Canis lupus familiaris: one gene and its partner. The protein of the gene in region 1 purifies or fractionates together with the protein of each later gene. This does not show direct contact. Links are inferred from orthologs where the notes say so. Each region holds a gene or a part of one and is shown in the gene's direction. Other genes may lie near its edges.

Region 1 (7,741 bases):
GCTCCCTTTTGTGCCTGAGTAGGTATGAGTATGACCTGTGTAAAGGAGGACTCAGACACTTGGACCATGCCTTCTCTGTACTTTGTTGGATTATCACTAGTAAAGTAAAAGTAATCTTTCTAGATTTCAAATGCAGTTGTCTCTGAACAATAGACTCATGAACTCTTTGGAGGAATGGCCACAATAGATGGTTTCTTCTTTCTCTACAAGTGGCCCTGGTTTGGGGCTCCTACTTTGGCCACAGGTATAGTCATTATTACAAAAGTGAAGGACTCACTGCCCTATCTAGAATCAGAATTGAAGACATGGGCTAAGAGAGACCAAGTGTCTAGGACAGGATCAGGTAACTATTAAATGATGGAGCCAGACTTTGAACTTGGGTTATCTGGCTCTTAGTTCTAGGCTTTTCTCATTATGACATTTTCTCTCTCTGGGACAAATACTGTGACACACTACACTAATGGTTAGTTTTGCACTATTTCAAACTCTGCCTTACGACATACCATCTTTATGTAAATGCATGGGCTGTACCAGAGAAGCTACTTCTGGTCATTTGGACCTTGATGACAGCTTTCAAGTAGGAGTTAGGACAGACTCCCAGAAAGATTGTAGATTTCTTGCTGAGTGAATGTGCCTTTTATAATGAGGCTAGAAGTTTACCTCAACCACTGATTGTACCTTCATCTCTCTATGGCATTTTAACATTGAGTATATAATATGTAGAATTTTGGTGTCTCAACCCTAATGAAAGTAGATCTTGGATCTTGCTCTGTACCAAACCTAGCAGAATGAGACTTGGAAGCACAGGTATGACCAGGTCTAAGGGCAAGAAAGTCAGTGGGCTTTGGGAATAAGGAGCCTTGGAGGAGGGGGAAAGAGATCACAGTTCTCTGGTCATTTTTTCTTTTAGCTTGTCCTCTTTGGTGAATGCCATATAAGGGCCTTTTTTCTTTTTTCTTTTTCTTTTTCTTTTTCTTTTTCTTTTCTTTTCTTTTCTTTTCTTTTCTTTTCTTTTCTTTTCTTTTCTTTTCTTTTTTCTTTTCTTTCTTTTCTTTCTTTTTTTCCTTTTTTTCCTTTTTAATTTTTCTATTTCCTAGTATTTTTAAGTCATTTCAGATTTCAAAGGGAGACTGGTGGCACACTGGTGGTGGTCTAGCTTTTCTTCCAGGCCTCTGAAGAACATTTGTGGGGTGGGTTCTTCCTTGTAGCCAGAAGTTGTGTGGACATAGCATACTGCTTAAGGCATATATTGGATGGGATGTGAATGTACAGAATAGATCACTGTCACTGTTTTTCTCTTTACTCTTAGACAGAAGCATTAAAATGTGTGGCTCAGGCTAGCAAGAATAGATCACTGGCAGATTTTGAAAAGGTAAGCAGGGTATTGGGTTGGTAGGGAATGGGTGGAGGAGAGGGGCATTTACTTAAAAAAAATCTCTTTATTTGTAAATAATTATAGTTTCATAAGAATTTTCAAAGACTGTACCCAATGATCCCATGTATTACTCATCCAATTTTCCCCAGTGGTTGCATTTTAATTATAGTACAGTATCAAAACCTGGAAATTTTATACAACAAAACTTGTTGAGTTGTAGTACCTCATTTATATATAGTACCTTTCAGTTTCAAAAAGTTCTTTTATCTGGGCGCCTGGTTAAGTGTCTGACATGATCCTTGGGTCCTGGGGTCGAGCCCCATGTTGGGCTCCTGCTCATCAGGAATTCTGCTGCTCCCTCTTTCGCTGCTTCGTGCTCACTCTTGCTCTACTCTCTCAAATAAATAAAATCTTTAAAAAAATGTTCTTTCATCCTTTTTCACTTGGATTTTTTTCTTCTCTCTCTCTCTCTCTCTCTCTTTTTAAAGATTTTTTATTTATTTGAGAGCAGGGTGAGTGAGAGAAAACATGAGTCGGGTGGAAGAGGGAGAGGAAGAAGCAGACCTCCCCTACTGAGCAGGGAGTCTGGTGCAGGGGCTCATTCCCAGGACCCCGGGATCATGACCTGAGCCAAAGGCAGATACTTAATGACTGAGCCACCCAAGCTCCCTGTCACTTAGATTTTTCACAACAAACCTCTTCTCTGCATTTTATGGTTGAGGGAGCTGAGCCTATGGTTCAGGGAGAGTGCTTGAAGCCCCACAGCTCACGTGTCAGGCCTCAATGCCAGGCCTGGCACTTATTTTGCACGCCATGGTCATAGAGTTTCCTTCAACTCCAGCAGTGCCAGCTCTGCTTCTCTTGTGGGCGTGAGAAAGAGTCTTGCTATGTGCACATGGACCAGAAGACACTTCCCGAGGTTGATGTTCCAGGCTGGCTTTGCCTCCTGTGCCTTTTACTCATTGTTAGCCAAGGTTTGAAAAGGGGAAAAAACATGCCTAAGCAGTAGAGTGAGACTTTGTATATTCTCTTCTGAGCCTCTCTTCTCCTAGTCTCAGTATAATGACCAACTTAAAAACAAATGTAGATCTAGAAAGAAAAACTTAATTGTGGATAGAGGCTAAACCATTTGGCTCTGGCTGTCTCCAAGATTCCACATCTTTGTTGAGCTTTCTTGCCAATTTCACTTCCTTACTTGGCATGATTTGCTTCTTCTCTTAACACCTTGTAGCACAGCTGACATGAGGCTGGATATTTAGACCATTCCTCAAAGTAAATAAATTACATACATGAATAAACAAAGTAGACTAGATCATTTTATCCTAAAGTTTGGGATGTTTGATGGGGATAAGGGTCTGGGATACATGAGGGCTGAACAAAATTAGGTGTTTTGTTTCCTGTTAACTGCAGAACTATATGCTGATGTGCTCATAAAACTCCATGAGCCAGGGGATCCCTGGGTGGCGCAGCGGTTTGGCGCCTGCCTTTGGCCCAGGGCGCGATCCTGGAGACCTGGGATCGAATCCCACATCGGGCTCCCAGTGCATGGAGCCTGCTTCTCCCTCTGCCTGTGTCTCTGCCTCTCTCTCTCTCTCTGTGACTATCATAAAAAAAATAAATAAATAAAAAAAAACAACTCCATGAGCCAGTTGTGGGATTAAGCATTTCCCATTATTTTTTATTTATTTTTAAAGAGAGAACACAAACTAACACACACGGAGGGGGAAAGGCAGACAGAGAGAATCTTAAGCAGACTCCATGCCCATCCGGACATGGGGCTCAATCTCACGCCCCTAACATCATGACCTGAGCTGAAATCAAGAGTCAGACGTTTAACTAACTGAACCACCCGGGTGTCCAAGCATTTCTCATTATTTAATCGCAGAAAAAAAATTTTTTTTTTTCATGGAGACCCTGTTTACTCTTTGGGATACATGCGGAGAACTGCTTGTGTAGTATCGGGCTTACGTGGTTTGGGCTGTCAACATGAGGCCTTCTGACAGAAAGGTGGTGCCTAGAAGGGTCTCCATCTTTTAGTTCCTGATGTTTCCTTTCCTTTGCCTTCTGGCATAACTTTTCTTTCATCTCAGATCCTCTAGAGCTTCAGTCAGTTATGTGTTTACAAGGCCCAGCAAACTACTTAGGAAGCTAGGAGTAGCGTGACTTTAGGTGCTTCTCTGTGCCAATCTCTGTGACTGGCTTTCTTGGCAGGCCCTGACAGATTATCGGGCAGAGCTCCGGGATGACCCAATCATCAGTACACACTTGGCCAAGTTGTATGATAACTTACTGGAACAGAATCTGATCCGAGTCATTGAGCCTTTTTCCCGAGTTCAGGTAAGGACCCTCTTGGGGACTCTGATTCTTTGGCTAGCCATTCTGTCTAGTCCCCTCCGTTCCCACGTGTCCAGAATAGGAACTTGCATCCAAGGCTGTGTCTGGTGGGCAAGAAGGCTTGGGCTTTTCTTGCCATAGGAATAAGTGTTAAGGAAATTCTATGGGATGGAGGCCAGTGAGATTGCCCTGCTCATCCTGAGTACAGTCCCCTCCTTGCTTCTGTAGTCACCGTGCATGTGGTAGATGTCTGTCTACAGTGGGTATGTGGGACGGGAATGTGTGTTGTCTAATGGTGAGAGGCCTAAGCATGACCAAAGAGAGTTTGGCCCCACGTTAGAGGCAGAAGTAGGACTCTCAGTGTCACTGTCTCTCTGCCTTTTCTTGTAGATTGAACACATATCTAGCCTCATCAAACTCTCTAAGGTAAGGAGTCCTGAGCTTGTCTTGGGGGCAGGGACAGGGAAAGGGGCTGGGGAAGTGGTTAGCATTTGTACTCAATGGGCCTTGTTGGAAAGTCCTCAAACTTCATGGTGTGGCGTGGGGACTGTGAGCTCAGAGCTCGAGTTTCACTGTTGCTGTTTTATTGACAATCTGTTTGCCCTTTTGTACAAAACTTGTGTCAGTGTGATCTCTGACTAGTGGATACCGATCCCTTTAATCATATGCTTTGATTTTAGGCCGACGTGGAAAGGAAATTATCACAGATGATTCTTGACAAGAAATTTCATGGTGAGTAACAGTGGTGAAGCAGTTGAGGCATCATGCTCTTGTTTATCTTGAAAGATGTTCCATTTATTTCACCTGGTAGCTCCCTGGGATCCTCACCATACTTATCCCTGTGATGAGAGTATGCATAATAAATATGCACAAATGGAACACGGAGATGATTTCTGATTCTCCTTCCTGGAGAAAGGGAGGCAGCTAGGGAGCGGGCTGCTTCTCAGGTGCCTTTGTATCTCATCCCTTCATTTACCTGGGTTGCCCTTTTGTTTCCTACAGGGATCTTGGACCAGGGGGAGGGTGTCTTGATTATTTTCGATGAACCCCCAGTAGATAAAACTTACGAAGCTGCTCTGGAAACCATTCAGAACATGAGTAAAGTAGTGGATTCCCTCTACAACAAAGCCAAGAAACTGACATAGGTGAGTGCCGGCTCTGGGACCCAGCCCGGGCAGCGCCGTCTTCTGCCTGTTGAGACTGAAAGCCTCTGGGTGGCCTCGCAGCTTCCCCGATTGACACTGCTCTGTCTTCTCTTGCAGAGTTGGATCTGTAGCGGTCCTTTGGAGAGTGTGTGTGGCGGGAGAGTGAAACCTTTGGGGAAAATGCTAGGAGATTCTTTTTTCTTTTTGTTCTACTTTTCGCTCGGAAAGTTTTTAAATCCTCATTTGGTGCATCTGTATTCCAGCCAATAGGTGTGCCAGTTTTCATGTAATCTTTACTGGCCCAACTTGGGAGTGGGGAAATTGCTTAAAAAAAAAGAAAAAGAAAAAAAAAAGGTTATTCTGAATAAAAGGAAAAAGGCTTACACTACCTAAAGCTGTGCTCTCTGCCTCCTGGGAGAGGGCCGCAAAGCCAGGAGCCTCGTCAACCACTGGGGCTCCTAATCCACCTGCTGGGCGTCACCTCTCCTCCTCTTCAGAATTGGGTGTTTGCCTGACCATCAAAGCAACGACTTTTTATTGTTTGTACTGAACCAAAACAAACAACTGTGTATAGACTGCTATTTTCTTTTTTATTTGAAATGAGGCGTTTTGGTGTTCTTTCCCCTGCCACATGGCCTGTCACCTGCCCTTCCCCCCCAACAATGGCTCCAGCAGACTGGCCCGAGGGCCTGCCGCCGCCGCCGCCACCGCAGCAGCACCTGCACAGCTCCGAGCTGACCTGTGGAGGAATGGGGACGAGGCCAGGAGCTAGTGTCCACAAGGGCCACACGGGAGCAGTGTGGGCCCTCAGGGGGCCTGCTGTGCATGTGGCTCTTTTTAACACAGTAAACTAGATTAGACGTCAGTGTTTTAATTGCCCTCTCTGCTCTTCTCTCTGTCCCTTCTCTTTCCCCTCTCCACCAGGAGACCATCACATGTCTCTTTTCCTCCCTCCTTCCCCTTCAGGGGAGTCAGGCTGTCTGAAATCCATCAGCTTCTCTCCCTGTCCCACTCCTCCTCCTGCTGTCAGATGGATTTAGTCTTTTTTTAACCAAGTGAACATTGAAAATGAGACTGTGGGGTGTGGGTTTTCTTTTTTTTCTTTCGTTTTTGTTTTTTAAACCTTTGTTGTTGGGTTTTTGAGCAACCTCATGTCCCCCTCCCAGGGAGCTGCTTTATTTACCTCTTAGAAACTGAACGGCTGGGAGGTAGAGCGTTGTATTTCAGCATGCTTTGTGTTATGATGAGATCACGTAGTGAGGCTTTCGTGCCATTTGGGCAGGTGAGCTTCTGCACCTCTGCCGTGCCCAGCGATATTTCTTCCTCCTCATTTTTTTTGTCTTCTCTTTTCCTCCTCCCCTCATGCCTCCTTCCTGCTGGCCTCCTTTTCTCTTTCTTTTCCTTTCTCAGATTATCCTTCCAGGTTTTCGTAATAAATTTATATTTTGTAAAAGGATTTTGTTGTACCAGGTTTTGCATCCTCACTGAATCTGACTGGCTTTTACTTTCCTCTCCAGAATCAGGTTTTTGTTCTCAACATCTCTTCCCATCATGTCCAGTCACTGTTTTGGTTTTGGCACCATCAATATCAAATGTACAAACGGTTCTTGCTAACCAACACCAGGTATATCTGATGTTCAGATGAGTTCCAATAAAAACAATTTTTTTTTTCAAAAAGTGTCCTTTTCTTGAGTGCTGGAGGGCTTCTGAACAAGTCCACACAGCTCAGTAGCCTTCTAGACTGGCCAAAGCTCTGGTACCATGTTTGCTTCATGGGAGACCTTTTGATCTGGGATAAAGTGGAGGGCTTTGAGGAAGAAATTTGATCGGTCAGGTCTGAAATGGGAAGTGGTATGCAGGCATCCTCCTGTTTTTCCAAGGCAACATGGTCCAGTGAGGGCACGGGTTTGGGCTGGAAGATCCTCTGCTGGTAGGTAATTGTGATGGGAAGGTTATATGAAGTCATGCAAGTGCCCGGAGAGGCCTGCAGTTGTGGTTTGGTTTTTAGTTGAAATCTTCAAAAGCAGTGAATTTTCATACTACCCCTTGGACCCTGGCTGCATTCTTCTGAGGGGCTCTGCGGCCACTGGGAAGACGGGGTGGGCTCTCAGCGCCAGCTCCACTTGAGTCAGAACTACTTGTTACTCTTTCAGTTTTGTATAGTCTCTGTGTAGTTTCACTTGAAGACTTGCTTGCCTAAAGGACTGTAAGAACTATTCCAAAGGGATCCAGCCCTGGAGTTGGAGAGGAGGGAGGGTTTCCCAAGCCTACTAGGGCAGCCCCAAGGAGCTGAGGTGGCAGCAGCCTGTGGCTCCCTTTGTGGGTCTGATGACCTCCTCTAGACCCGTGCTGTCCATGGTGTAGCCACTAGCCACACAGGCCTCTTCAGTCTTTGATATGTGGCTAGTTGGAAGTGTGATGCATTGCAAATGTAAATACAAACCAGATTTTGATGACAGTATGAAAAAATGTAAAATAGCTCAACTTTTTAAATATATATGTTGAAATATTTTGAGCATAATGGGTTAAATAAAATATATTATTAAAATCCATCTGTTTCTTTTAATTTTTTTAATGTGGCTACTTGAAAATATTCAATTACCTATGTGGCTTGCATTTGTGGCTCACATTATATTTTTTTGGACAGTGCTGCTCTAGACCTCCAGGGCTGCTTTTCCTCCCTGGCCTCAAGTACTCTGGATCTGGGCACAGTTGAGAGGGTTGGGTGGCCCATAGGCTGGCCTGGGCCCCGTTTCTTCACCTGGGGACCCTCCTGGCACCAGTCTTAAGGGTGCTAAGACTTTCTGGTGTGCTAATGAGACAGCCGTGGTGTTGGGAGGAGAGGCTGAGGTGCTTGGCTCTGGAGCACTGCTGCGTACTAGTTATA
Region 2 (8,462 bases), on another chromosome or scaffold:
AGTTGGTTAAATGTCTGCTTTTGGCCCAGGTCTTGATCTCAGGGTCCTGGGATAGAGCCCCGCCTCAGGCCCCCTGCTCAGTGGGGAGTCTGCTTCTCCCTCTCCCTCTCCTCCTTCTCCTTCTCCCTCTCCTCCTCCTGCTTGTGCTCTCTCTCTCTCAAATAAATAAAATCTTAAGAAAAAAGAAAAAGGATAACTGAACAAAATATAGGAGGCTGAATGTAATTAATTATACTTTTTTTCTGTATAAGGATTACTTTTGTAACTTTTTATTTTAAAAGAATTTCAACCTCCAGAAAAGTAGCAAAGATAGTAAGAATGTTTGTATATGTTTTACTCAGAATCACTATTTACACATTATCACATTTACCTTACCATTCTCTTGTCCACAAATATATATTTGTTCTTTTTTCCTGAACCATTTGTGTTTTTTTAAAGATTTTTTAAAAAGATGTTATGTATTTATTCATGAGAGACACACACAGAGAGAGAGAGAGAGAGAGAGAGAGAGAGGGAGAGAGGCAGAGACACAGGCAGGGGGAGAAGCAGGCTCCATGCCAGGAGCCCGACGTGGGACTTGATCCCAGGTCTCCAGGATCAGGCCCTGGGCTGAAGGTGGGGCCAAACCGCTGAGCCACTGGCGCTGCCCTTTTTAAAGATTTTTAAAATTTATTTTTTCGCAAGAGACACAGAGAGAGAGAGAGAGAGAGAGTCAGAGGGAGAAGCAGGCCCCAAGCAGGGAGCCCAACTTGGACTTGATCTTGGGTCTCCAGGATTAGGCCCTGGGCTGAAGGGGGCGCTAAACCGCTAAGCCACCCGGGCTGCCCTTCCTGAACCATTTGAAAGTAAGTTGCCTCTCTTGTCCCTAGTCTTTAAGCTAGGCAATTGCCTAGCTTGTATATATGTATTTCACAACACTGACCTTTTTTGAAGAGTTCAAGGCAGTTGTTTTGAAGAGTGTTCTTTAATTTGAATTTATTTACCATGATTAGATTCAGGACAAACATTTTTGAATAATACACCAGTGTGGTGTATCCTTTTAGTGCAATATATTAGGGGGCACATGTTTAAATGTTGTTTCATTATTTGGTTAGGCTAGGTTGAAAATTTGGAAGCTTATTCTGCTGTTTGGGCAAGTTGGTTATTTATTTATTTATTTTTTATTTATTTATTATTTATTTATGATAGTCACACAGAGAGAGAGAGAGAGAGAGGCAGAGACATAGGCAGAGGGAGAAGCAGGCTCCGTGCACCGGGAGCCCGACGTGGGATTCGATCCCGGGTCTCCAGGATCGCGCCCTGGGCCAAAGGCAGGCGCTAAACCACTGCGCCACCCAGGGATCCCGGCAAGTTGGTTATTGAAAGGGTTTTCTCAGTTGTCACATGAGAACAGTACTAACCCTGATTTCACAAGGCTGTTTTTTTTTTAAATATTTTATTTATTTATCTGACAGAGAAAGAGAGCAAGCACAAGCTGGGGGAGCAGCAGAGGGAGAGGGAGAAGCAGACTCACCATTGATCAGGGAGCCTGATGTGGGGCTCCATCCCAGAATTCTGGGATCATGACCAGAGCAGAAGGGAGATACTTACTTAACCAAATGAGCCACCCAGACGCCCCCAGAGGGCTGTTGAATTGATACACATACGGCATTTAGAACAGTGTCTGGCACATTGTATGAATTTGGTAAGTTATTATCATCACTATTTTTGCCAAAATTTAAAGAGGTCTTAGTACGTAAGAGACATTGAGTAGTAACTCAGTTCTTTATCTTTCCAGCTCCTGGGACAGTGTATGACATATAGGAGACATTCAATAAATAGCTGTTAGCAAAATCACAGCCCTGAGATATCTATCAATATCCAATGATTTTATAGATGAGGAAATAGGCTCAGGGCAGTGAAGGAATTTACCAAGGTCATGTAGGTTGCATTAAGTGGCCAGAACCAGACTTGAACCTGAGCTTGTAGGGTCTGTAAAATGGGGAATAAGGGGAGCATCCGGCTGGCTCAGCCAGTGAAGCATGCAACTCTGGATCTCTGGGGTTGTGTGTTCCAGCCCCATGTTGGGTTTGGAGGTTACTTAAAAATAATAAAATCTTAGGGGGCACCTGGATGGTTCAGTGGTTGAGCGTCTGCCTTTGGCTCAGGGTGTGACCCTGGGGTCATGGGCTCTCCGCAGAGAGCCTACGTCTCCCTCTGCCTGTGTCTCTGCCTCTCTCTGTGTGTCTCTCATGAATAAATAAAACCGGGCAGCCCCGGTGGTGCAGCGGTTTAGCGCCGCCTGCAGCCCAGGGCCTGATCCTGGAGACCCTGGGTCGAGTCCCACATCGGGCTCCCTGCATGGAGCCCACTTCTCCCTCTGCCTGTGTCTCTGCCTCTCTGTGTCTCTATGAATAAATAAATAAAATCTTAAAAAAATAAATAAAATCTTTAAAAAATAAAAAAATAAAATATTTTAAAAATGGGGGATAAGGAATCTGAATGTGTTTCGTTATCTCTCAAGGGCTGGGTAGATTTGAGGAGCTGAACTGGAGCGCCTCGCACAGCGCTTTGGCACAAACATATGGTAGGCGCTCAGTACATGTCTACTGAATGAATGGAAAGCAAATGAGTCACCGAGGGAGAGATCATCCTGTTCTGGCTGGTGACAGACCTGGAACCCATTCCTCCCCAGACTGGTCTTCCCTAGTCCCCAGAACACTTGTCCCGGCGGGGTGTGGCTTCCGGGCGCCCCGCCCCCAGCAGGCCCCTCCCCCAGGTCAGGCTCGCTGACGCTCGAGGAAGTTTGGCCCGCGGGCGGAGCCGTAGCCACAGTCTCTTCCGGCGGCCGCATCCCGGAAGCCGGGGAGCCTGGTGTCCCGCATCCCGCGCCGAGGTCCAGGATGTCGGAGGGGGAAGCCAGGCAGGGCGAAGGCTCCCCGCAGGCCGGCGCGGTGACTGTCAGTGACATCCAGGAGCTCATACGGCGCAAGGAGGAGATCGAGGCGCAGATCAAAGCCAATTATGACGTACTGGAGAGTGTGAGTGGGGGCTCGGGGCTCCTGAGCGGGCGTGGGGGGCAGCCTGGGAGAATGGGGAGGCCGGGGCGGCCTGGGTTTGAGCGCTCAGCGGTGGAGCTCTCGCTCCCTGGGAGGCCCAAAGCGCGGCAACTGCGGCCTCTGTCGGCAGTAGGCGGTAAGCAACTAACGATAGCCCCTGAGAACGACTGGCCTAGTATAGCAAGCGTTCGTGGAGCTCTTACCCGGTGTTGGGCGCTTGGGGGCTGTTTTAATTGCGTTACGTGGTTAGCTCCTTTAACCCTCGCAGCAACTTTTTGAAGTGAGTTCTACTATTCCCCCCATTTTAGGGATGAGGAAACAGAGGCGTTACTTCAACCTGCCTCAGGCCACAGAGCTAATAAATTGTGATAATCACCACCATCGTTGGTGCTTGTTGAATGTGTACCAGAAGATCTGTGCTTTGCTAACTCACTTTACGTCAGAACTTCGTAAACTTTCATTATGTTTGGCAAGCACCTGGAGATCTTGTTAAAGTTCAGTTTCTGATGAGGACGGGGCGCGGAGGTGCAGATCTATTTCTAGCAAATTCCCAGCGATGCTGATGCTACTACTCTAAAGACCGAGCTTTGAGTGACAAGTAAGGGAACTGAGGCCCAGGGTGAGGCAAACCCTTGTCTAGGGTCATGTAACCAGAAGTGGCTGTGGTGGGGCTATTCCCAGGTCTGTCTAGCCCCCAAACTGGTAGTTTTTCTTATGCCAATTAGTGTAGAACCACAAATCAATTTGCAGAGGAAGAATAAATTAAATACATCCTATATAGGGTGAATGGATGCAATGCATTTTAGGTGATGAGAGTAAAATCCAAGCATCAAAAGACTAGGGTATCATGTTGCAGGGTGCTGATTATTATGCCTGAAGGGTGCTGGTTTGTGTGTATGTTATATCATGAAATCCACAACCACCTTGTGAAGTTTGTATGTTACCCAGCTCAGAAAAGAGAAGTCACTTGCTTAGAGTCACAAAATGAGATTCAGATCTCAGGCCCGTTTAATCCAGAACTTGTGTTTTCAAGCATTATGCTAACAATTTTCCAAACTTTACTTTTTACCTCAAGCGGGATGCTATATCCATAATATCTCCTGTACTACTATTCCCTTGGTATTTTTCTTTATATTGATTCACTTTTTTACTTAAATATGTTTGTCTTAAGTGAAAATTTTGTAACTTTACAGCATATGAGAAAGGGATTTTTTCCCCTCCCTTTAGCATAAGGTAAAAATGCATACCAAGGTGATATGTTTGTTCCTTTTTACTAGCTACAGTTATAGGCTGAAAGCTTTTAAGCCTGAAGCCCTCCTCTGTGATTGTTTTTTTAAAAAGGAGGGAGGAGCTAAAACCATAAATCTTATAGAATAAAGCATAGGAGTAAATTTTTGTGATCTTGGGTCAGGTAAAACCTCCTTAGATGTGATGCCAAAATCACAAGCAATGAAAGAAAAAGTAGATAAAATTTATCAGAATTTAAAACGTGTATCTCAAAAGACATATGTCATATGTCATCAGAGAAATGCCAATTAAAACAGCCATGAGGTACTACTACACATGTGTCTAAGTGGCCAGTATTCATCACAGTTCAACTCCGGATGCTGTTGAGGATGTGGGGGAACTCTTGATTCAGAGCTGCAAGTTTCTTGCAAAGCTAAACATTCTCTTACCATACCATCCAGCAGTTGTGCTCCATGGTATTTACCCAAAGGAGTTTAAAACATGTCTACGCAAAAATCCTCATGATGTTTCCAGCAGCTTATTTCGTAATTGCCAAGACTTGAAGCAACCAAGATGTCTTTAACTAGGTGGATAGGTAAATAAAATGAACCTCTAAACAGTAGACTATATTACTCACTGCTAAAAATAAATGGGCTAGTGAGCAATGAAAAGACCTGGAGGAACCCCAAATGCTTATAAGTAACTGAAAGAAGCCAGTCTGAGAAGACTGCATCTGTAGGGTTTCAACCAGAATCTGGAAGGGGCAAAACTGTGGAGACATTAAAAAGATCAGTGGTTGCAGGGATCCAAAGTGATGGAAGGGATGAATAGATGGAGCACAGAGGATTTGTAGGGCAGTGTAGGTATCCCATATAGGATTGTAATGATGGGTACATGTCATTATACATTTGTTCAAACCTGTAGAATATAAAACTAAGAGTGAAGTCTAAGGTAAACTATGGGCTTCAATAGGAAATGGTAGGTATAACCCAGTGGCTTCCAGAAAGAAAGGGAGAGAAGTGAATGGAATCCCTCATCCCAGTACATATATTCCCTGGGCAGCTTTCCTCTATGCTGACTAATAATTCAGCCATGATTTATTACTTTTACATGTATTAATTTCCTGGAGCCCCCATAACAAATTACTACAAACTGGGTGACCAGAGTGATGGAAATTCATTCTCTCACAGTTGTGAAGGCCACAAGTCTGAAATCTAAGCTGTCGGCAGGGTTGGTTTCTCCTGGGGGATCTGAGGGAGAATCTGTTCAGTGCCTCTGTCTTATTTTCTGGTGGTCACTGGCCATCCCTGGCTTTGGTGGTCTAACTCCTCTGCCCCTGGTCACATGATCTTCTCTGTGTCATGGATCTCCCTCAGGAGAGGGGAGATCTCAACCAAGGGCACCCGGATTGTACACGGCACGACTGAGATTCAAATCAAAGTCTAACTGACTGGAAACCCTCTGCCCTCCATCACAGGACGAGTTTCATTGCCATTGTGCACCATCCTCTGACTTAATGTAGGAAAAGACTTTAAAATGTTAAATGTGTCATTTTATTTTATTTTATTTTATTTTATTTTATTTTATTTTATTTTATTTATTTTAAATGTGTCATTTTAGATAGGGAATACGTGTGCATGATCAAAATTCAAAAAGACTACAAAAAAATAGAAAATGAAGTCCCTCTGCCTTCCTTGTCCCCTAGCCACCCAATTCCTTCTCCCAATGGCAGTTGATAACAGTATGCCCTTCGAGGGATGAAAACCTCTTTGAAATCCCTTTTAGATCCCTTTTTACTTTCAGGAAGAACCAAAGTCCTGCCACAGCTGGATGCTCTTTGGGGCTTTCACTCCCCTCTGGGTTTGAAGGCCACCAGCCAGGTGTCAGCTGCTTTTGGAAGGAGGGTTTGGAGGAGCCCAAGAGGCTGGCCTTGGGGATGAAGCTCAAAAGAGTCTTTAGTTTTATCTGCACTGTCTGACTTAAAAAGAGGAGCACAGATTGATGTTACTTGTGTTATTAAAAGTCAGTAAAAAGAAAAATAGTGTGTCGTCCCCCTGACCACAGAGGGTGGTTGTGGGAGCATTTGGGGAAAGTACGTGGCCTGTACTGTGTGATCAGTATGTGGCAGCTTTCATTCCTGTCGCCTTTATGATGGCTGCAAGGGAAAAAAATGTCTTGAGGACTTCATACCTGTGAAATCTTAACCATGTTTCTTCCCTCTAGCAAAAGGGCGTGGGGATGAATGAGCCACTGGTGGACTGCGAGGGCTACCCTCGGTCAGACGTGGACCTGTACCAAGTCCGAACTGCCAGGCACAACATCGTCTGTGAGTGGTGTGCGTGCAGCCAATCCCCAGCCTTCCAGCAAGGGAGGCTGAAGGCACATAAGCATGATCTTACTATTCCATATTCTCTGCTTCCTTCTCTTCTCCCCTGATGGGATTAGCTCACTGTCCGCATCCAGGGACTGAGTGAGGGAATGGGTTGGCCTCTAGGCTTCTAAAATTTATGGTTTCATTTTTCATTTTGTTCTTAAAGACTTGACTTCACTGTGGAAACTTTTTCAAAGTGATGATAGAAACCGGAGTCAAAAATTTGGAACTCCTGGGTGGCTCAGTGGTTGAGTGTCTGCCTTTGGCTCAGGGCGTGATCCTGGGATCGAGTCCCACATCGGACTCCCTGTGAGGAGCCTGCTTCTCCCTCTGCTTATGTCTCTGCCTCTCTTTCTGTGTCTCTCATGAGTATATAAATAAAATCTTTAAAAAAAATTGCTTGCAATCCTGATCAAACTAGTTATGTGTTAGGAAATGCATCTAGCTGGTAAGGATAGTGCCCTGACTGCGGTCACTCACACAGGAGCCTTCAGTGCCTCAGTATAGACATTTGGAGGGAAGCAGAGCAGGGCTGGCTGTCAGATCCCAGGCTGTGCCATCCTTTGGACATGTTTTCCAACTTTAGGGTCACCATGTCCATGCACCAAGCAGGAAGGAAGGGAAGGACGAAGGTGGGAAGGGGAGAAGGTCCTTTGCTGCCCAGGACTCTCCCTTTAAGAAACTCTCCTGTAGATCCCAGCCCCGCCTTGTTGCACTGCTTTCTGCTTTCACTTCCTAGGCCTCTCTGCCTGCAAGACATGTTGGGGTATGTACTCCATGGTGGTCATATCACTATCCTAAATAAAATCATTTATTTGTTTATAGTTGAGGAATAAGTTGTACGTAGCAGTTGGGTAGTATATTAGTTTTCTGGTCCTATTGTAACAAATACCCTAGACTAGTGGTTTCAAGTGTCACAAATTTATTGCCTTATAATAATCAGAGATCCAAATGGGTATCACTGGACTAAGATCAAAGTGTTGGCAGGGCTGTGTCCCTCTGGAGGCTCTGATAAAGAGCCCATTTCTTTATCTTTCCCTGCTTCTGGAGGTGCCTGTGTCCCATGGCTCGTAGTTCCTCCCATTTCCAAAGCCAGCAGCTGTACCTCCCAACCTCTGGTCCCACCATCTCACCTCTTTCTCTCACTGTCTCACTCCTGCTTTCACTTACAAAGACCCTTGTGATGGCATTTGGCCCCCTGCCTGGGTAATCCAGGATGATCTCCCCAATCAGTGCCCTGGACTTAACCACATCTGTAAAGCCCCCTTTGCCATGGAAAGTAACATTGACAGGTTCTGGTGGCTACCACAAGAACATGTTTGGGGGCTTTATTCACCTCTGCCATGGGTGGGCAGCTGGCAGCCTCTACCACAAAGTCTTATTAGAGGGGAATTTATCATGCACATTTTCCCCTCATTGACCTCTGTTTTATGTGTTTGAATCTTGATTCCATCTGCAGCATGTTTTGATTATAAGGCCGAGCTTCCTTCTGGAGGCATAAGTAGTTACCATAGGAGTGAGATACCTCTTGAGGTGCCAAATGTTCCGCAAAGCTGCAATATAATCATAGAACAACATCTTAGAGCATCACTTTTCCTTGAAGATTTTGGGAAAGGAAGCATACCATTTTTGTATTGAAACAAGTGGAAGATACAGAGTAGGGAAGAACCATGTCAAGACTGGAGGGAGGGGATCCCTGGGTGGCGCAGCGGTTTGGCGCCTGCCTTTGGCCCTGGGCGCGATCCTGGAGACCCAGGATCAAATCCCACGTCGGGCTCCCGGTGCATGGAGCCTGCTTCTCCCTCTGCCTGTGTCTCTGCCTCTCT

Evidence for each region. The genes of interacting proteins can lie anywhere in the genome.
Region 2: the proteins of PSMD11 (region 1) and PSMD9 fractionate together in Homo sapiens (co-fractionation; 3 studies listed by BioGRID and IntAct, with this or other methods). This does not show direct contact. The link is inferred for Canis lupus familiaris from reciprocal best matches to the Homo sapiens genes PSMD11 and PSMD9.

What each region holds. Positions count from the first base shown.
Region 1 is NC_049230.1:40,477,150-40,484,890, reverse strand, and holds the end of PSMD11 (26S proteasome non-ATPase regulatory subunit 11), read left to right. Parts: intron 1-1,309; coding exon 1,310-1,372; intron 1,373-3,586; coding exon 3,587-3,712; intron 3,713-4,099; coding exon 4,100-4,135; intron 4,136-4,389; coding exon 4,390-4,441; intron 4,442-4,711; coding exon 4,712-4,854; intron 4,855-4,971; 3' UTR 4,972-6,531; downstream 6,532-7,741.
Region 2 is NC_049247.1:7,624,906-7,633,367, reverse strand, and holds the start of PSMD9 (26S proteasome non-ATPase regulatory subunit 9), read left to right. Parts: upstream 1-2,797; 5' UTR 2,798-2,882; coding exon 2,883-3,020; intron 3,021-6,488; coding exon 6,489-6,591; intron 6,592-8,462. UniProt on the Homo sapiens protein: Acts as a chaperone during the assembly of the 26S proteasome, specifically of the base subcomplex of the PA700/19S regulatory complex (RC).